2 linked regions of the Oryzias latipes genome follow. The protein of the gene in region 2 purifies or fractionates together with the protein of the main gene of each other region. This does not show direct contact. Links are inferred from orthologs where the notes say so. Each region holds a gene or a part of one and is shown on either strand. Other genes may lie near its edges.

Region 1 (11,906 bases), on a different chromosome or scaffold from region 2:
AGGTTTACATTGAAAACCACAGAAAACGGGGAAAAAAGAAAAGGAGAGGTGGAGTAGACAGGGGAGGGGTTGAATGAAAAGAAAAACAAAAACAAAAAAGGGCAGAAATAGCAAAATTAGTAACTACTCTCCATGATAGCAAAAAGTGAGTCTACAGCATGGGCTCGCTGGCGCAGAAGTCTGCCGCGCAAAGCTGCATAGCTTTTTCCTACGCTGCGCGGATCCAACCAGCACCCACACTCACGTTCTCATCCTGAAGTTATGACCACCTTTTATCAAACACAGTGGCTCTTATTTCCTCAAATTCCATCTATTGTCCTTCCATTAAAACACTGAAAACACTGAAAATAAGCAGAGGCTGGTAGATCAGTGCTGACATTCACAACCTTGGATGTGGAACAGTGAGTGCAGGTGATAGTCCCTGTAATGCGGGCGCAGTCAACGCAGGCGCGCTGGGTGGGTTTGCCGCCAACACCACAATGCACCATGTATCGCTGTTCGCATGACCTTGCTCCTGGCAAAGTTCTTACTTCGCTTGTGCGCTCGCTGAATGGCCGGATGACAACGGCAGCAGACCAACAACCCCTGGCAGATAATCTGCAGCACCAGACTAGCACACACTCTGCAGCCATGAGCTTGGAAGGATAAACAAGACAGTTGGGGGGCATTGCCAGAAGAGGCAACATAGTTTACTGTGGAGAGATTTTTGTGTGTGTCCTTAATCATAAAAACAGAAAGCCAATAGATGGTGAATGAATCAAAAACTGCTCAACGCATTTGTCATAACAAATCCTGTCTTGAGCGTTTTGGTGCATTTGGGAGCGAGGCTGGTTTTTGGGTGGGGTGAGGTCCGCAACCAAACAGGCCAAGGGGGATGAGGGGGGAGGGCGTTGGGGGTTGCACGCGTGCGCTTTCCGCCATTTAGGTTGCTTGAAGGGTATCGCTGCGCAGCCCCTGCGCTACTGCAGACTCACAGCGCATTTACTGCATCATCAGAACGCTGCAACTCCAAATAAAGAAAGGGAGAAAACAAAACAAATAGGAAAAATAACCAGCATGTAAGTGTTAGAGGGTTCTTAATGTTTTTCATAATTACAGCTTCCAAATCCAAGTTTCTTTTTACTTCATATAAAATTGGTTAATTAGTAAAACAAATTTCAATAAAAACTAACTGAAAAATATTAAGTTTATTTTTTCTTTCTTTCACAAGAGCGAGGGGCTCAAGCATGAAGTAAGGTGGTTTTTCTTTTGTTGGCAGTTACAAACCCGTTACCATATTTTTGGACTTTGTCAGAGTGGTGGTCGCAGCTGGCTGGAAGAAGAGGAGAGGACTGAGGCTGCCCTAGAGTTCCTTTCCGCCAGGCACCTACGCAGGAATAGTGTCACCCACCTGAAACCTTCTAAATAACAATATCAGTCGTGGAAAAAACCAAAAGAGACAAAATCAGAAAACAAGATCGTTAGTAAAAGTTCTTCAAACAATACATTATTTGTTGATTATGGATATAAAGCACCAAATCACGACAAAACAAAAATAAATGGTAGCTTTAGCTTTAGCTTTCAGTCATGCATTGAGGGCCTGATACAAAACAAGAGGATTGCTTACAGGCTAACCGAGGGAAGAAAGGCTTTGCTGTTCAGTTAATCACTGACATGTAGTCAGACCTCTATTTTCCTGCCAATTGAGAATTTAAACCAAACTACAAAGAGGGCGATTACTGGCTTGATCTTACCCAAATGAACTGATCCCATTTCAGTAGGAATATTATTACATATTTGAAGGAAAAGGGAAGAAATGTGAACCAATGCGTTTCTTATATTCCACTAGCATTTTCAGAAAATATATTTTTTAAAACTTTGATTTCTTTATCCTGGCCTGCTTTCTTGAATCCTGGCCAATGGATAGGGAAGAAAATTCTGTGGTTTAAGTACTTGTATCTAGAAGTCTCCACAGATCTGAAATAAAGAGGTCATTGCTGCTGCTGCGCATCATACTGTCTTTCTAATCCAGCATCTGGCGCAGGTGGTGGAGCACAAATAGTGAGTGAGCTGTCTGCTTGACACTACTTCAACCGCCTTAAGGCACTGAAGAATGAGCTTTATATGTAAATAAACGGCAGGGCATGTCAATAAATATCAGAATGATTGACTAATCGTAAATCTCAGTGTAAGTACTGACTTTTGGACATGAAAGGCATGTGGGGATGCGCCTCGGCATCAACTAGGGGAAGCTGATTGGTCAAGAAGACAGCTCTGGTTGCGCACACTCCACCGATCCTTAGCAAGCGCGCGGGGGGCAGAGCTACAGAGCTGGGGAGCTTGTGACTCCCTGATGCTCCTCCACACTCCTTTACCCCCCTCTAGCATGAAATAAGATGGCCTGTAACCAGCAGGACAACTCCATATGACCGGATTTGAACGGACCAAGGGAGCCCCCCCCCCCCCCCCCCCCCGTGACAAGCACATTTTAAAGTGACAAAGTTGAGTTGTAAACTCCTAGTGGGGAAAAAAATAAAAAAGGATCCACACTGGCAGAAACTACCAGCTGAAAACAGGGATAGAAATATTGTCATTGGGCACTTGATATGCAACACAGGAGTATAGCAGTTAGGTTAGAAACCATCTTATCTTTTGCACTTCAGATAAATTCTATCTTGATATCAGTTCATAATCACTTTAAAGACCGAGCCAGCGTTTTCCCTCCCAGATAAACATCATTAGGATGCAGGGCCAGGGTTCAATCTGAAGGGTTCACTTACTGCAGCCTTTCTTCCTGAAAGGGGAGGGGATGACCTTTCATTAGCAAGGTCAGCAAAAACAGTGGGACTAAGTAATAAGGACCATTGTCAAAAAGAATTTGTACAAAAAGATCAGAAAAAATAAAGATTTAGATAATTTAAGTTCGAAAAATGTTTAAAGAAAGGACAGCTTTAGAGTGCAATATGAGTCTTTTAGACTCTAGTTCAATATTTCCAAAAAAACTTTTCTAAAGTGAGGTGAGAAGCTCCTTGCAAGTCTAAAATAAGCTGATGTTTATCTGGCCCCCAGAGAAAAGAGGACTTTAATAAAGCTCCTAAAAGTAACGAAAAAATAAAAGAAAAAGGAAGAATCGATGGCCTAAAAAGACATCCTAAAACTAAAGGAGAGAAAATAAAACCCACATCTTTAGCATTGAAGACACAAAGACGCGTACCTTAGCCTCTTCCAAACGTCCCAGGGCTTTGAGCAAGTTGCCCAAATCGCTACGTACACAATAGAGATCCTGTAAAAGAAAAAAAAAAACACAAAGATTTAAAAATAGAATAAAATAGAATGTTTTCACTAACAAGTCCCCCCCCCCCCCCCCCCAAATTTTTCAAGTACTTAATAACACCACTTACTGGGTTGTATTGTAAAGCAGACACATAAGCTTGGACTGCTCCCTCCATGTCTCCTGCAGCCACCAGAGCTGCTGCCAAGTTGATGTACCCGTCAATGAAGTCCGGCTTCAGCCTCAGTGCGTGGCGATAATGCTCGATGGCCTCCTGCAACTGACCACGCTCCTTGTACACGTTTCCCAGGTTGGAGTAAGCCTCTGCAAGCATTGGATTCTGCTTGATGGCCAAAGTACTGAAGTGAGCAGACCTGTGAGCAAAAATATAAACACAGTTAACCCTCAACACCGACACGGTCACCAGCGGCAGAAAACACACGTTTGCGCTGATTTACATAACTTTCCTGTCGTTGCAGTGGTTTCCACGGTGTCGAATTTTTATGCAACGATGTTGACAATCAACAAATAGACAATCGATAGTTGTTAGAAGAAATATACATAATTTAAGCTGTGTTTTTAAAAGTGTGTCATCGTAATTTATGTTGTAAATATAAGTTATTATTGTGAAAAAATGTCTAGGAATTCAACCAGAGCAAAACTCTTGTCAGAACTTTGAAAGAAGAGGAGTTGGAAAATCAGGAGATGCAGGACGGTCTTCATCCCGCATGCAAGTAAAACATTTATGTACAAAAAAGTGCCAAGGATTAGATTTACCAGAAAAGTGTAATTTTAACTATTGCTGTCATGTTTCTGTGGTACTCCGATTTTTTTATTTACTTTTATTGCATTGCTGCATATCTGTACCAACAAAGATGTATTTCAGCAAACATGCTACTTGCATTGTTTGTGTTACACAAATCATACAGATTTGTCATTGATTTACATTAGGGCAGCACAAAATGAGGAACACTCGCAATATGCGGTATTAGTGATCAATATCATGACGATGACATAACTTACGATACATAAAAAAATGGAAAAACAACCAAAAACAATTCCCAGTTCACTGGTACAGTTTAATTTAAATAAGAGTTAAACGTAGTCTACATAGGAGGCCAACATCTAACATAACAGATCCGATTGGTCAAATGCATTAAGGGATTTTTTTGATTCGTTACATACTTCAGGCTGCCATAAGACTGTTTTAGCACATTTAAGATTACCATTCATTGCAATTTTGCGGTCTTTTGCTATACGCGTATTGCACAGCTTGATATCGCAATAATGATACATTTGTGACTTATTGTGCAGGCCTAATTTACATCATGCTGTCTGCATTCTGACTTTCTTCTAATGAGAGTGGATATAAAAAAGGAGTGTTTTCTACAAAAGAAGCACCCCTCAGATTTGTGACAAATGTAGAGTTGGCCTGTGCTTTCAACTGGAATAAAACTGCCTCAAAGTCTGCCATATGATCAAAAAATGTCCCTTCTATGTTTGCAGAAGCTGTAGAAAAATAAAATACAATCGTCCAGACAAACAAAACTGCTTGTGCTACTTCAAACGAGTTAACAATAATTTCAAAACATTTAGATCAGTTAATCTAGGTTTTTTATAAGAAAAATAGTCATTACAGTTATTACAATTTGAGTAAATTTGGAAGTTAAATATGTACTGAATAAAGAGGCAAAAGACTTCACTCTAAAGTTTTGAGACAATTTATTGTTAATTAAAATAAGGCTGGGGAGGCCAATTACAATAAGCTTTGTGTTGACTTTAGTTCAAGGTTTATCAGTTCTGTCGGTGATTAGAGTGAAAATACTAGGAATAAATGTGTTGCATGATTAAAATTCTCTATACTGGAAACAGTATGGTAGATGCTGATTGTCGATGATTTGTGACTTACCTAAAATCATATCTATTTTATGTGTTCTTGTCAAATTTACCATCTCAATTTTATTTAGCATCTACTTGAAAACAAAAACATGTTTTCATAACTGGAAATAAATTCAGGTGTCAAAGGATTAGGGAATCATCAATAGAGGCCTCTTTAAGAAGTAGAAATAGCACCTCAGCTAAAAAACGGCTGGTTTCTTCTAACAATAAAGAAAGTGTTGGAAATACCATTTCTTGATCCTTTCATTTGTAAAGCCCTTCCATTCTGCTGCTCTCATTTGCCAGCCTGTATAAAGTGTTCTCACCTGTCAAGTCTTCTGCACTGGAAGTGAATGGAGGACAGCAGCAATAACACTCCAGTATTATCAGGCTCCTGCCTCCACAGCTGCATGCAGTGGCGCTCGGCCGCCTCAAAATCTCCTGACTGATACTCCCGGTGTGCAAGCTCAGCCAACCCTTGGAAGGAAAGCATACGTTTTGTTGGTTCTGGACAACCAACACAGGCCAAGGAGGGGGGAAACGACATGTTAGAGGTGATGAAAGAAAATAAAGACGACAAATGAAAAAACAGGAAGAAATAAAAATAGAAGCAAACATGACAATGTTTGTATTAAAATAAATGCCTGACAAATGTAACTTCAAAATGTGATAATGGGTAAAAATGATGACGTCACAAGAGGGAACATAAGGGGGACACTTCACAACTTTTATACAAACTATAAGCATCTGTACATATAAATTAATTACAATTTAATGTATATAAAAAATGCACACTGACGCTTTTTTCCAACTAAGGAAACGCATAATTTATATGTCAGACTAGCTTTTCCAAAATGCAGAGTAAACGAAAACGTTATTAAGTCTATTCGTCATCAAACAGGTGCATCTTGATAGAGAACAGGGAGATTGTGGCTCCACCTACTGTAGCATCTACGTCACTGCTACAAGCTTTTTCCAACAGCATTTTTATCATCTGCTGCTGCTAATTCACGATTGAATTTTAATCTTAAATTTCTTTACATATCATCCATTATAAGAAAAATGCTACACGAACAAGTTAAAAACACGATTTTCATCGAAGTGGGTCTTTATTGTGGGGGTGGGGTGTGTGGAAAAAAACTGCACCACAACGCACGCAAAATCTGCTAATAATCGCGTTAAAGTTAGTTTATCGTTAAAACTGAGCTTGTTCGTCATTTTCTAATTTTGAAAAACATATATCCCTAACATTCGCCGTCCCTCCCAAAAAAAAATGAATTAAAAAATAAGATATCTTTGAAGGCATTTTAGTAGGACACTTCATTTCAGCGCCCTTTATTGCAAACCGAAACGCCCCTTAGCTGGCGGCCATTTTCTCAGACAAAAACCACGAGATAAATGTTCAGTTTAGGATTTAAAAAAATAAAATGTATGAACATAGTGACGCCCAAGGAGGAAAAATGTTGCAGCGCCAAAGATTTAATCGTTTCCTACCCATTTAAACGTCACATCTACAAATACCAACGCTAGCTCGTCTTGACTTAATACTGTTTAGGTTAAGACGCCAAATGAAGGAATATTCGGTACAAATTGGCGAAAAATATAATAAAATAGCCTTATTATAATATATCTATTAATACATATAAATTGGTACCGTGGTGTTAGAAGAGCGGCGCTACTGGTTTACATACTAGCATCCTCATTTACCTTATTGCTGTGGATTACCAAAAGGGTCATTGTTAGATTAAAATTTACTTTTAAAAACTATTTTAAATCGTTGCTTCTTTCTAAAGGAGGTGCTTTTATTTTTTTGAGCCACTAACCTGTACTGTCTGCCACGTTTCCCACAGAACTCGCCATCTCCCCAGCAGTCTTCGTTTCTTGCACGGCGGTCGTCAATGTGTCGTCTGGGAGCTCACAGCTTCAGAGAAAAATAGATGTATTTCTTATAACTAACTGTGGTCTTTCTGAGACGAAAACTGAAAGCACGTTGTTGTCTGGCTAGGTAGACCGGGTTATAGTTACCTACTAATCTCGTATTCAGAATAAATTTCCTAAAGCCCTACCTTAAAATGCCGCTGTTTGGGTATATTTACACAGATAATGTAGTTACTGCACCTACATATGACATAAAAAATATACCGCTACCGTTCACGATATTCTATCTGCACAACAAAGCAGCTAGTGAACGTAAAATGGCGAATTGGGTGGAACTCGTTTTTGTGATCAACTAGATCCTGACACCGGCATTGATTGAAAATAATAGTTGGGCATTAATACATGTGACTATAAACCCAATATACATTATTATTTTTATTGTATTAAGAAGTTATACATATACATATATATAACCTGATGTAAAATTATACACTTAAGGTAAAACCACGCGGAAGAATACAATGGTGCAGTGAGACTCAAACGGTAAAAGGAAGCAGCACTGCTCGGAGGTATCTGAAAGAGTCACGTGTCAGCTGTGCTGCGAGGAAGTGGAAGGTGCGCTGGTCTAGTAACAAACACATCAACATTACATAACCGTGGGTTGTTTGATTTCTTTTTATTTTCTTTTAGTTCTTCTTGTAGTTTTATTTATCTTTTTATTTTATTTTAGTTCTTCTTGTAGTTTTTATATATATAGACACACACAAAAAACATATTCAAATACACACAAAAGAAGTTCAGATAAGATTTGTAATTCCAGGGACATTTAACAGGTGTTAGCTTTTATTTTATTTTTAACTGCAAAGGGTATTTTCTTAATGTGTAAAGCAAGCATTAAATGTACAATCTACTGTTAAATATCTTTCCACATAAATACTGTTTACTAATCCTTACTAGTTACATATATTTTGTCAACTGATTTTTTTTTAAACTGTAGCCTGATGGATAGAGTTCTGGTTAAATCAACATCAATTGCTATGTGAAGGAAGTTGCCAACAGGCTCAGTTTACATTGAACATCACTGACAGGATGTGTTTGCACCAGAATAACTATTCTTCTAATCTTCAAGTCCCGAGCTTAAACAACTTTATTTCTATTTCTTTTTAAAATATTTCTAGGACTTGCAGTATGTTTATGGTTTTTTTCAACCAAGCAATTTTCCTGCAAGATTAATCGACATCTTCTAACACATCTTATTTTTTGCCAATATTTAATGTTTTTCCTTAATATGTTTTGCCAACATTGATATCCAAACATAAACCCTTGTTTTTCTTTTCTTAATTATGTTTAAATTAATTAGTTTTTGTTTTAACCAAATGTTTTTTAACCCTGTTTTTGCAAACAGCAAATGTACATTTAAGATAAAAAAACAAACAAACTCCTGTTTCTGACATATTAAAAATGTTGCTGGTGTGCTGATGCTGTGATCTGTCATAAATTTGCAAATAAACCAGTTTACTGCAAATTTTAAAATCTACTGTTTACCCTTTTTTCTCTACTGTTTTAATCTATGCTCCTATGCATGCATGCACCATTTTTGTTGGTTTTTTTAAGTGTGCATGTACATGTATGAATGAATACAAAAAATGCTTTTTTTTTTTCAAAAGCACTATTTAAGGAGTAGCTACTCAAATTTTGTTGCAGGAATACAATGTCAAATAAGGCATTAATGATTCTGAATATTAGTTTTAAAGTAAAATATTGGATCAAATTTTCATGATTCATTGTTAATACAAATGAATACTTATACCAATATTTTGCCATTATTGGAACAAGACAAACAAATCAGAATGCTGTTTTTTTATTTATTATAAATCTACTTAAGTAAAATGGAAATATCTGGGTTAAATTTTCTCTAAAACTAAGGTTTACATTTCTTAATTTTAAAATGTTATTACAGTCAATCTATCTCTTTAAACATAAGTATGTATTACAAACTCTCGACACAGTCGAAAGTAGGAAGCAAAAAGATAATTTCCTGAAGCAAACATAACTGCCAAAAAAATGTGATGATCAAAAGTGAAAATAAATAAAATGTGTCTTAGAATGTGGCTTCATCAGCAGCTCTTCCTTTGCTTCCTTGTTTCTCCTGCTTTAGCTGCCTTCCCTTCATTTCTGATCGAGGGCGTGTCTGTTTGCAAAACAAACCCGGATGTGCAACACAGCAGTTCTCACAGAACCTGATTTCTATCAAGTTTTCCACATACGTTTGTGTTCTTGTTGTGTCGAGAACAGGCACATGTTTCTCTGTTTGTCTTTGATTATCACATGTTTCTGAAAAGGGCCCATGCGGGTCTACCTGAAGCCCAGAGTGCTCCAGATGTTATCCAGTCATTGGTTTAGTGTCATGCTTTCTCCTTTGAAATGTGTTTTGTCTCCATGTTGGTTTGTGTGAATTGTGTCACAATACAGTCAAAGATTTACAAAGAAGATTTAAAATACTAGAAGAACCAGAGTTGTTTTAAGTTGTTTTTGCTTTCCTCTCGTCTCCTCTGGATCCTTTGTTCTATTCTAAAATTGAGCAGATATTTACACATTAGAATTTCACAGCACAGAAGCATGAGCTACAAATGCAAGTGGCTCCAAGATGACATTTCTAGGTGACATCCCATGAATCATCTCTACAGTGGTCACAGTGAATTTACAGTTTCATTCCAATTAAATGGATTAAATTCACCTAAAACAAGAAAACGACATTAGTGGGAGCAACACTATACCATCTAGATTTGATTATGTTTAAAAAGAACTGGAGTCTACTCAGTCTTCCAGGTAGGTGGCTTGTTTTACAGATCTGTTTCGATTAACTTTAATGTAAAATGGCTCCATGGTCTAGATTTTTGTCAAGTCTTCAATAACAAGTTCATCCACTTTTATGTCTCCTGAGAACAAGCTCTAGCACTAATCTAAACCACACTTCTGAGGTTATCCTTTCCTGAAAGTCAATGGCGCCGTCACCCTGGATGAGTCTAGTAACAATAACGTGTCATCATAATGAAAAAAACTCTGACCCGGAAGCAGATGTCTTTTTTTCTTTGTTCATTTTTGAACAGTTTGATTGAACATCACTCCGGTACTCACTTCACCAGCACCCTGTCAATTATAGCTTAGTTTGATTGCTGTTTCCAGTCATAATTTGAGTTTTAGATCTCATTTTATGTTTCCATATGTTGGGTGTGGGGGTCATGAGGGATCATGGTATCTTGTGTGTTTTATAATTTTATAATATAAAAAATCAAAAATATTCTATTTTTATCCTTTTTTTTCATTGAAACCCACATAAGTACTCTTGTGTAATTATAAATTGCTAAATAAAAAAAAGTTTAATTCAATCATACATGCAGGCTGTCATAATTTCCTTGGCAGCTGAAACAACACATAATTCATCATTCTCCTTTGTCATTTTTATTTTACTTTTACTGTTCATGTCCATTTTTGAATCATTCTTTTTTAATCATTTTATTCTGTGCAGTGCTACTGTGGGTTTGCCTTCTATAGAAGGTGAATAAGGTGTACCAAGTCATTAAAAGGCCACATAGAGACTAATGAGAACTTTCACCTACTCACAGTAAGGCCTCAGGTAAGATTTTATCTCATAGCTTTCTTGTAACAATGCAGCACATGCATTTATTTGAACTATATCTTGTTTGTTGACCTGACCAAGTGGAACTTTTCCAAATAAAAACCCCTAATTGTACTAATTGAATTTTATTTGTTTGTTTTTCCTCTTAGAGTGCCAAAGGTGATTTTTAATGTGGCATTAATATGTCCTGAAAAGTCCCACCCTGAAGACACCAAAGTCTCTTTGCAATCCCAATATGACAGGTGGGTCTTTGTACTGCACACAGAACAGTTTTATTCTTGTGACCTTCATACCACAGAGTCATGCTGAAACAACAGGATAACACCCTAATCAAAGTGTCTTCTCCAGACTATTTTAAACCGGTTTGCAGACTTTTTAATTATCTTGCATGAAGAAAATACTCTGATCCTATATTAAATTATTTTTGTGTTTATTATTATTTTATAATTTAATTTGAAACGCATACATTTCACTTTTCAAAACATTGAGGTGTGTTTATGCAGTACTTAAAATTACCAACAGGGGGCAGCATCTATTAGGTCTTCAGCCTTTGACGTTCACATGGAGCAGTACTTTTGACATTAAATTGTCTTATTTTACTGCTTTCTGATCAATTTTAAGTACCTATTTAAAAAGGCCATAGTTTAATATTCATCCTTATTAGCAGTAGAACTTGTGAAATGTATTTTATCTAAACTAAGCTATCCTCCTAAACACAAGACTTTACAGGTGTGCCATGATCCTTATGTTGCATTTTAGTCAAATTTTAGACTTTTATATCTGAAGATTATTTTAATAAAAGGCCCATAATGACCTCATGTGGACTTAGTAAATATACAATAAATAATGTTTTCTTTGAGTTTTTTCCAGTATTTTCCTTCAATTTTGGTCAGGGAACTTAATTTCAGAATCAATGATTTTTGATGCAAAAATAACTAGTGAAACTGAAATTTTAAACTTAAGTTCATAAGAGAAGTGGAAAAAAAAAACTTTAAGAACCAATTTCATTATCACAGTTTGTGTTGAGTTTCATTGGATTTGTGAATGGAAACAATGTTTTACTACTGTTCAAGTTAAGGAATAAGTGATGCCTTTAAAATGTTTGTGTACTTTAGAGATGCTGAAAATGGATTTGTTGTTTGTCAGACTCTTGTTTTACAGCGCCCTCTTCTGTGAAGCAGCTAACATCAATGCTTCTGTTGGTTTTGCGCTGAACGCCCCAAGCATCCAGAGGGTGCTGGGTTCATGTACTCTTCTGCA
Region 2 (10,508 bases):
CTGTTTCACCTGTTTTGCTTTTCCTTTGCTCCCCAGTGGCGGAAATGCGCATTTCTGTTATTTCTTTAAAAAAGCATAACTCGCCACAGGAATGGACTAGAAGTGTGCCTTTTTTTTTAAACATCCTTATAATTTTTACTCTTTGTGGGCGGGCCAGATTAAACCATCTGGCGGGCCAGTTACGGCCCACGGGGCGTATGTTTGACACCCCTGGACAAAGGAAAGAATGAATGGGACCATGTATATCGTCAGATTTTGAGTGAAAACCTCCTTCCATCAGCAAGGGCATTGAAGATGAAACGTGGCTGGGTCTTTCAAAATGACAACAATCCCAAAAAGATGAGGATCAGGAGATAATCATGTGGTCAGATAAAAAACCAAAACAGAACTTTTTGGTGTAAACGCCACTCACCTAGTTTGGAGAGAGACGAAGGCTGAGCTGCATCCTAAGAACAACATGCCCACTGTGAAGCATGGGGGTGGAAACATGCTTTAGATCTGCTTTTCAGTAAAGAGGACACGACAATCTCCCTGTATAAACAAAGGATGAATGATGATCACTTTTATGATGAGCTATTGGGTAAAAACCTCCATTCATCAGTGAGAGCATTGAGAACTATATTGTGTGCAAATCTGCAGAAGACCGACAGGAACTTTTGACCATGGTTCCATTACACAGTGATTGCTGACCAAATAGTTATTTTTACACCAATATGCTCCTGATTACCAGCAATGCAATGTGTCTTCTGCAGAGGACATTTCTAAACCTGAATATCTTTCAGTTGCGTACTACTGAATACCTTCTTTTTAGTATCTAAAGGGGACATGTGGGGATGTAGTGAAATCAAATGTGAAGGAGTGGGCCTCTGGGAATTGTGTCTTTTGTGGATAAAAAAAAAGTTGATTTTTCAGATAGTCAGGAGGTTGTACAGACATTGACTGTATAATATAACTCGACGAACCATGTGTGATGTCCCCATAGACTGTAAAAATGATGGACAAATTGAGGTGTGACGTCATCCATAGAAAATGCCTTACCTGACTTAATCAGGCCAAATCCCTCATCATTGCTTCCTGACATGGACGCCGCCATATTGAAATCAGTCGGCAGTGATTGGGCTGCCTCGTTCTGAGTCATCGTATCTATGGCAACTACTGCTGCCAAACAGGAGTGAGCTTATTGTGAGACCATCTCTTGCTGCTACATTTCTATTGAAAATGAAATTGCGCAAATTGGATTTGTGATAATAAATTTGCCTAATGGAAACATGAAAATTTCTGAAAATACTCACATTTATCAAAAAATAAGCTTTTGTGCTTAGAGGATTTTCTGAGGTGTATCGAAAGGGACATGTTACGCAAAATCTGTAATGAAAACACTTTTTGAAAATTAAATAAGTCACAAGAGCAACAACTCTGCACAGGTAGACAGCTTGGAACCATTTTCTTAATGATTCCACTCTGGGACCGCAGAGTTGCCGGAGCCCGTCCCAGCTACTGTTGAGCGAAGGAGGGATACAGCCTGGACAGGACGCCAGCCTGCAGTCGCCCCGCTGGATCCCGGCATAGCAGATGGCCAGAGCGATTTAGAAACCAATATCGTATAATTTGATTCTAGTTTTCGTTTTTCCCCTCCTGAACTAATGTGGGTTGCAGAGACACAGTAGTCAGGGAAAGCAGTTTTACAGCGGGAGTGGAGCTAATACCAGGGGACTGATTGATCTCATGAACATGATTACAGATGGTTTTGTAGAATTTTTTTAAAAATGAATAAATCCAATCTCTAAACATCATCCATGTCCTCCATACATTGTAATGAGATATGCACACAGATATTTGAATGCATCTGCTGTGAATGCAAGGTATTGTTCACATCCGTGTTTTTGAAGGACTTATAGCGTGAGTTGGTTTGTGTTTATTCGCAATTTTAATTTGGTTTGATTTCTAGAATTTTAATAACGTTTTTCACATTGTTGTGATGGAAACACAGACTGTATTCAGCTTTCCCCTTTAGCCAGTCAATGACGCGGCTCGGGAGAATTGTACACGCCGATAGCCCTTGTGCTATCCTATGACCCCACCCTTACATTGACGTGTTCTCCCTACCATGACAAAGGTGGAAAGATTTCATGGACACCAGTGAAGATCACAAATCATTGAAGAAAAAAGGTTCAGCGCACTGTCTAGTGGGTCCAGATGACCCCCCCCTTACATTGACGTGTTCTCCCTACCATGACAAAGGTGGATAAAGGTGGAAAGATTTCATGTAATCCATGGACACCAGTGAAGATCACAAATCATTGAAGAAAAAAGGTTCAGCGCACTGTCTAGTGGGTCTAGATGACCCAACTCCCAATGTTAAAGTGCCTAGGATAGCACAAGGGTTAAGAGAGAACCATTCAAACATTTGAATCTGCCAACAGTTATTTTGCATTTAACCTTTATTCTTATTTTTTATAGTTTTTCACTCCTGGTTCATCCGTGTTGAGCCAGAAAGGCACGGGAAAAGTTTTTTTTCTTATGCTGCAAGAAAAATTGCAAAATAAGAAGGAAAAGGCCTTCAGACAGCATGGATGAAATCTGTCAAATGAATCAGTAATATCAGTCTATTTTTAAATTGAAGTCTATGGGATTTTGGCTTCTTGAAACCAGCAGATACTTACTGTCTGGAAACAAACGAAGGGAGGGGTAGAGCTGTCCATTGTTTTTACAGTCTATGGATGTCACCCATAGAAAATGCCTTGCTTCAGGGTCCAACCAAATGAAGTCAATTCAGTTGCCATTTTTCCACAATGAGTCCGTCGCCATGTTGGAGCCAGACATCCTTTGTAAGCCGTGATTGGTCCATTTTGGTCTAAGTCTACATTTCTATGGCAACCACTCTCCAATCAGCAGTGAGCATTTTAGAAGGCCACACCCTAAGGGCAGGGTTGCCCAGTTTAGTTTATTCTGTTTAGTTAGTTCAGTATTTTCCTATTGAATTCTATGTATTGTCGATCCTTTTGAATTCATGTTTACTTTACAATTGCCTATACAAAGCCCATTCAGATGAATGTTGTGATTTTGGGCTACACAAATAATATAGAATTGAACACCCCTTCCACTGAAAGCGGGCTTGGAAGAATCAGTCAAAGGCTTCGAACGCTTGAAGCAAAGCCACTTACTTTTTTTGAGGCATCAGATTGGTCTGTTTATAACTTAAATAATTTAAACTACAGCTAAAAGATGATAAAAAAATAGGATTTTCAAAAACATGTTACTAAACTCTTAGCTTTTTATATGGGAAAAATGTAAAGAATATGCAACTGCCAAATCATTTTTAGTCCAATGGATTTAAATTTCCTCAAAAAGCATCCCCAAGTGACAGCAGGAGGCATTAAATAATCTTAAATATTTAATTTGGATAGTAGTATTACTGGGCTTGTTAATTCTCCAATTATGTTATTTTTACTCTTCAAGTGTTGCATAGCACTTATTTTTAGTCGCCTAAGGAGCTGCAGACATTTAATAGCAATTCTAAAGCCAAATTTTTTTAGAAAAATAGTTCTTGGCAAAAATAAACATCTATCTAGAGGTTTTCCTGTTTTTTTATCTGTTTTTACATATTTTAGTGAAATACATCTTAGCAATTGTTTAAATGATTTTATAGTTTTCACATAAATGCTGATTCTGCATTTTATTTTAAAATTTCGATGAGTAATGATCTCGTTAGTTGACTAAAATGAACAGAAAAACTATTCAAACTTAAAATAACGAAGCAATGTTTTATTCCTTTCAATGGTTAAAAAAATAACTCTGCAAAGAGACAATACTTTCTAGTTTGCGGAGCAAATTAGATGTCAAAAAAATTGTGATCTACCACTGATAACAAGCGGAGCAAGACAACATGAGGTAAATGGCAAAATGTACAATTAATCATGCTCCAAGTTCACAATAATAATAATAATATCAATAAACAATACAGCTTAAAAATCTGATATCAGCAACAACCAAAGAAACAGACCAGATTTACAGGGCATGTGCACATCCACCATACCTCCAACAGCAAATCCACCAAAACCCACTATCTGACAACAAGGCACGACACACACAGTTTGGAGGGTCCAATGCAATCATCGTGGCAAAAAGCCCCACAGCCTTGGCACATGATCATGGCTTTGAGGCGGCAGGAGCACTTCAGGGCCACCTCGTCGGTTGCACTGTCGGCGAATGCTTGGATGCTGAGAGTAGCGTGGCTGGGCGCCAGACGAGGGCGTAGCTGGAGCACGCTTTCAGTCACACCCCGGGTAAAACCACTGTTGTCCATCATTGACAGGTTGGCTGTGTAGCTAACAGCTCCCACACATCCACTCTGTTTGGGAAGCTTTCCATACAACGGGAAGGGCAGGGAGGAGGCGGAAGAGGAAGGTGAGGGAGATGAGGACAAGGGTGAAGGGGAGCTGGATGAGTATGAAACTTTTCCATGGTCTTTTTTGGCTATCCTTGCCAGTGTCAGCTCCATGTTGAGAAGTCCCTCCATGGCTCCTCCACACAGGTACCCATCTATTGCATTCCCAGGTTCCTTTTTGAGAACACCATGGGTTAAAGCTGACGTAGCCTTAGCCAAGGCCTGGCAAGACGGCCGGGTGCTAGCTTCATGTTTCGGAGGGGAAGCAGGAGACACCTGCTGAGGTTGCTGAGGCCGTAGATTGACCTTTATGATTGCCACCCCCTCCAGGGGACAGGGGTCCACATAGGGAGGGGAGGGTAAATTAGGTATACTCCCATGAGTATCTGGGCACTGGTTGGCAACACCCTCCTGTGATGAGTGGGAGCCATGAGACTTGTTGACCGTAGACTCCACTGCAGTAAGAGACACATCTGGTTTGGTTTTGGATGACAATCCAGAAGAAGAAAAAGAGGGTGGTGCAGAAGTAATAACTGGGACAGCACCAGGGGCCATCGGAGGGTGGTAGTCTGACACAACTGGGGACTGACAGGAACCAGATTGCTCTACTGATGACAGGTTAAGAACCTGAGGAACAGCTGATTCTTCTGGACTAGAAAGTTGGACTGGGACCTCAGTTTTGTTGCGAGTTCCTGGGTTCTTTAGAGTTGGTGTCCTGGATTGAGTTCCTGGGAGTCGGCTTATCTCCAGCCTGTTGGCTGAGTGTGAAGGGAGGACTTTTTCAAGGGGAAGACTGCCCTGTAGAAGCTGAGTAACAAGAGGGTTGTTGGCCTCCACACTTGAAACAGATCTGGCTGGACCAGCCAGTCTTTTGGGAGCAGCAGCAACATTTAAATGAATGACAGGAGACTTTAAAGATCCTTGGCACTCCTCAACATAACTTGTTCTGGAGGCTTTACGGTCCTCTTTGAGCTTAATTTTTACCACAGCATTCTTTTCTCTGAAACCCAGCAAAGGTGCCGTAATGACAGAATGGTGGTCCTGGGACTCAGGGTGGTTATGCTGAAGCTCAGGTAGACCATTTGGAAAGCAAGGCTGAATGACTGTCTGACCCTTGTGACCCAGCATATTGGACTGCACAATGAGCTGCTGGCTCTGAGTACCAGGGCACTGGGTACTCAGAGGATAGCGCCACTCTTGGTCCGCCAACTCCTGCTGCCCGTCCTCCTGGTCTTCATTCTCACAGTCAGAAGCAGTTTCTGTGGAGTCACTGTGTGTATTTGCATCTTCTTCTTTCTTTCTGCTGATGCTGAGATTCACATCACATTGAGGAAGAGAACCCTCTGGCTGTTTCACCACTGAATGAGACGAAACTTCCCGCTGTTCCTCATGGTGTGAACTATGCTGGACGATGACACAGGGTCCATCCTCCTTTTGTCTTTCCTGCTTTTTGTTCTGAGAAGAAGTGGCAATTGTCTGTAAAATGTCTACACCCTGAGTCCCAAACCTAGGGATGGAATCAGGGATTGATGTTTGGGTCAGGATGGTTTTTACACAACCTTTGCCTGCCATCTCGGAGACATCGGCTGACTCCTGCAAATGGTTTGCCTGAAAAGATTGGGTGCCCAATGACTTGGATGTAATGTTGGGATCTGGGGAGAGATTGCAAGGCCCGTCTGTGAACCTACAGGGGGAGCTCTGGGAAGTTGCTGATGTTTCTTCAACCTCTTCTGTTACTTTCAGACTCCTAGCTGACCCCTCTTGGTGGGGACTGGGGGCCTGTGGGGACTCCACAGACATGGAGGTGGATGTGTTGGATAATGAAGGGGAACAGTGAGCTTCTACATATTGAAGCTGTAATTGTGTTCCAGACGAATTAGCGTCTGAAGACGATTCCTGCTCCTCCATTTCACTGGCCGCCTTCTTCTCATCTCCGGTTCCTTCCTGCCCCCCTCCTCCAGGCTCGGTTGGTCCTGGGTGCTCTCTTCTTCGTCGTTCACTGTTGCTATCCGATAGCCCAAGAGCAGGCCGCAGCCCGACACTGGTCGTCCCTGTCCTTTCGCCAGAGGCCGCAACAGCAGCAGCGGCCTCCCTCTGGGCTCGGGCTTGCTGGGCTCGGGCTTTGATGTCTGCCAGAGTTCGTGCTCCCCCAGTTCCAGAGCGGCGTGAGCCCTCTCCGGAGGGCACAATCCGTGGGCAGATCTGGTAAGTGGGGTGCCCTTTGACCCATGGAGGTTTGATTCTGGATAGTTGAATCTAGGAGAAAAAAGGACAGAAGATGGCAATCAATATGTGCAAGAGTTGTGTAGTGCACATCGATATATATTACTGGATTGGTGGTCCATAATATGCCGTATTTTCATAAAATTATTAACTGGATTGTCCCAGACAAGTGATTGGAGCAAAAGTGGGGGGAAAAAATAGTTTTCCAACCCTATTTTTCTAGCATTTTATGAAAACTGTGCCAGTTTGTCTTATAAATTGTGTTTTTTATTTATTTTATTAGATTGGATTGTAAAAAAATCTTTCAAAGAAGTATCTTGTGAGACATGTAGAGCAGTGTTCCCAAACCCCCCAGCTGCGGGTTGGTACCAGTCCGTGGGCCACTTGGTACAGGGCCACAGACAGAAAAAAATAATAATACAAAGGCTAACTTTGATTATTTTTGTGTTGTTTATTATCTGATACTGACGGAGGTTTTTTTTTGGAAAACCACTGGGTTCTGATCACCACATCTGTCAGTCTTGACACATCATGTGAACTTAAGCAGTTTTCGGACTAAGTTGGTAGCCAAACAACAAAACGTATTTGGAAAGTTTCTTTTGGGAGAAAAGAATCAGTGAGGAAACTGAAGAAAAGTCTTTGACTTCAAAGAAACATGAAACTGCTGTTTACAGACAAAACCAGGAGTTTTCCTCCAAATATGGATTCATTAAGACAGTTGTTCTCATGTACCAGAAGCTGCTCGTCTTAATATGCGGTGACTGATTCTCAAATGTTTAACGCATGCAGATAATAAAGATGCAGACAGAGTGGATTCTATTATTATATTTAGAAAATACCAGTTTTAGGACGGTGGTGTGACGGCGAAAGTTAGCATCCAGTTGTTAGCATTCCACTTTGACGTCACAATTTCAGTTTTAGCCAGCCGCAGGAATTTGACAAAGAATAAAGTTGCTGATTTGTGAAAACTTGTAAAACAGACATTTGTGAATTTCCCTAAAGCAAGGCTGAATTAAGCATCTTCTAAGAAATTTTGGCACAGAAAATGTTCCTCTGTGATAAAAATATTCACAATAATTTCTGTAAAAACAAAATGATAAATCTTTTTGCCCTGAGAGCATTGACTTTTAAAAGCAATACACAGCTCAAACTCTCCCTTCTCAGGTTATCAATTAGGAAGTACCGTTGCTTCCTGATACGTGTGCCGCCATGTTGAATCCAGTTGACAGTGATTGATTTGAGTTGCTCTGAGTCATATCTATGGGAACTACTATCACCATTGCAGCGGATGGGTGTGGGCGGCGCCTTAGTCTCCTGGATCATTGACTACTTGTCAGACAGGCCGCAGTTTGTCCGGCTGGGCGGTGTCCTGTCTGACGTGGTGACAAGCAGTGTGGGGGCCCCACAGGGAACTGTGCTCTCTCCCTTCCTGTTCACTTTATACACCAGTGACTTCCAGTACAACTCAGAGTCTTGCCATCTTCAGAAGTTCTCTGATGACTCTGCTGTTGTTGGCTGCATTAATGGTGGGCGGGAGGAGGAGTACAGGGATCTTGTGGATGAATTTGTGAGATGGTCTGGAGAAAACAACCTGCAGCTGAATGTGGAAAAGACCAGAGAGATGGTGATGGATTTCAGGAAGAAACCACCAGCTTCCCAGCCTCTCAACATCCTTGGCAGAGATGTGGCAGAGGTAGAGGAGTACAAGTACTTGGGAGTAATCATCGACAACAGACTGAGCTGGAAGAGCAACAGCACTGCTGTGTATAAGAAGGCCAGCAGCAGACTCCATTTCCTGAGGAGGCTGAGGTCCTTCAACGTGTGCAGCAAGATGCTTGAAATATTCTACCAGTCTGTTGTGGCCAGCACTCTGTTCTTCTCGGTGGTCTGCTGGGGGGGCAGCATATCTGCTAGGGACAGCAATAGACTGAACAAACTGATCCGAAGAGCGGGCTCTGTAATTGGTTGCAAAATGGACACGTTTGAATCTGTGATGGAGAGGAGGACTTTAAATAAACTGGTATCCATCATGGATAATCCTGAGCATCCTCTCCATCCTGTACTGGATGGTCAGCGGAGCTCCTTCTCCAACAGACTAAGGCAGCTTCGCTGTCACACAAACCGCTTCAGGAGATCTTTCATTCCTCACTCCATTGGACTCTATAACTTGTCATCCATGTGCAATAGATAAAGTCATTTATGGTCCGTCTATTTTCTCTCTCCTGATGTGGCATGCAATACGACTGTGCTAATTCACTGATGTTTCTTTCCGATTGATTGTTTTGGTTCTCTGTCATCTATTGTGTGTAAGTTTGTATCTTGAGCCTAACGCCGACGCTGCAACAACTGAATTTCCCAAGCTGGGATCAATAAAGTATCTTTATCTTATCTTATCTTATCATTGCCAACAACTTTGTTTCACTGAATCTTCGTCATCTGTCTATAGATTTTTTTAAACTAAATTACTTGTAGCAGAAATTTAATTTAAAAAATATGGTTCTTAGAAACTGGTGAAAAAATATCAAACGCAAACTTTGGAAATATTGTCTGGCATTAAACCGGTCAGTGGTGTGAAAAAGGTTGGATGTAGACGACATCTTCTGTCAAGTGCTCCATGTCAAAGATCTGCAGAGGCCTTCACTTGAGTAAACCTCAAAGATCATGGCAGACTCCACACCCATCAGATCCAGTATTTTACTATCCTGTTAACAGAACGTCACCTACAACGTGCATCATATAGCACATCTACACACATCGCTGCTGCAAAAGCACAAACAGCAACAACAGTACTCCAAGGTCATTATTTTCAAAGGCCTATGAAAACACGTCTAATATGTCTGTAATGCAAAAAATAATGAACGATAAAAGTTGCAGATAGCCATTATTGACTTTTACTATGGCAGATTGTTTACCTGATTTTATTTTCTTTGAGGTGTTTTTGTTTGGAAAAGGGCTTTCTTACTTCACTTCGTCAAGTTTATTAGCTATTCGTGCTATTGAACTTCAACATGTGGATTAATTCTAGTTGTGTTTACTGATGAAGTGATTTTGAGGGGTACATTGTGCTCTATCAAAATGTAAGTCTGTTTTTTTTAAACAAGCTAAAAACAAGATTGGGTGTTATTGTGAATACGCTAACATAGCTAACAATATAGTGGCGTTTTGTTTACGTGAGACTGTCAAGGTTGGGAGTTAGTATAATCACAGTAACATTTGTTTTAGCAGCATCAGTCTGTCTCTTACGTGATGCAAACAAAGTTGGGAGTTAGTTGTTGTAAGTACACTAACGTAGCTAAGGCTTCCAACATGTAGCACGATACGAACAAGTTTTACAGTTACTGTGAACAGTCAATGAAGTTGGACAGACTGATCCATCTCTGACTCTCTTAATGAGTCTTATGGTTCTGTGTGCATCAAATATGACATAAGTTTGAAAATAGATCATTTATTGATTTTGTGCCATATAATCCGATGTAACAAATACAATAAATACTTTTTAGGGTAACTTTTTTTTTTGCATCTGCATGGGTTTTTGAGAGAACAAAGAAACTTAAATATTACACTAACGAGTAATCAGTTTAAAGTTGCTGCTTGCTGGTATCAGTTTGCTAAAGTTTACAGTTTAAAAGTAAAAAAAAAAAAAAAGACTGACCAATTAATCATTTCAGATCCTGGGATTATTTATGTCAAAAAAAAGCTACAGTACTAAATTACTTAATTGAGTCCAGCCTAGAAACAGCACATCAGAACCACATGAAACTTTTGAATTTCGGGGTTTGAGTAATAGTGAACAATAATAAAAAGCTATTACGGTGAGCTCTAGATGCTCTTACTTATGGCAGTAAGATGGGTTTAAGGATTTATAAAGTCCAGACTGATTCTCTTGACCCTCAGATAG

Evidence for each region.
Region 1: the proteins of asxl1 (region 2) and ogt purify together in Homo sapiens (affinity purification with mass spectrometry; 3 studies listed by BioGRID and IntAct, with this or other methods). This does not show direct contact. The link is inferred for Oryzias latipes from reciprocal best matches to the Homo sapiens genes ASXL1 and OGT.

The regions. Positions count from the first base shown.
Region 1 is NC_019868.2:18,362,858-18,374,763, reverse strand, and holds the start of ogt (UDP-N-acetylglucosamine--peptide N-acetylglucosaminyltransferase 110 kDa subunit), read right to left. Parts: upstream 7,315-11,906; 5' UTR 6,989-7,314; coding exon 6,952-6,988; intron 5,636-6,951; coding exon 5,455-5,635; intron 3,625-5,454; coding exon 3,381-3,624; intron 3,263-3,380; coding exon 3,194-3,262; intron 1,401-3,193; exon of another isoform or gene 1,277-1,400; coding exon of another isoform or gene 1,274-1,276; intron 1-1,273. UniProt on the Homo sapiens protein: Catalyzes the transfer of a single N-acetylglucosamine from UDP-GlcNAc to a serine or threonine residue in cytoplasmic and nuclear proteins resulting in their modification with a beta-linked N-acetylglucosamine (O-GlcNAc).
Region 2 is NC_019865.2:30,116,506-30,127,013, forward strand, and holds the end of asxl1 (putative Polycomb group protein ASXL1), read right to left. Parts: intron 6,644-10,508; coding exon 4,064-6,643; 3' UTR 3,742-4,063; downstream 1-3,741.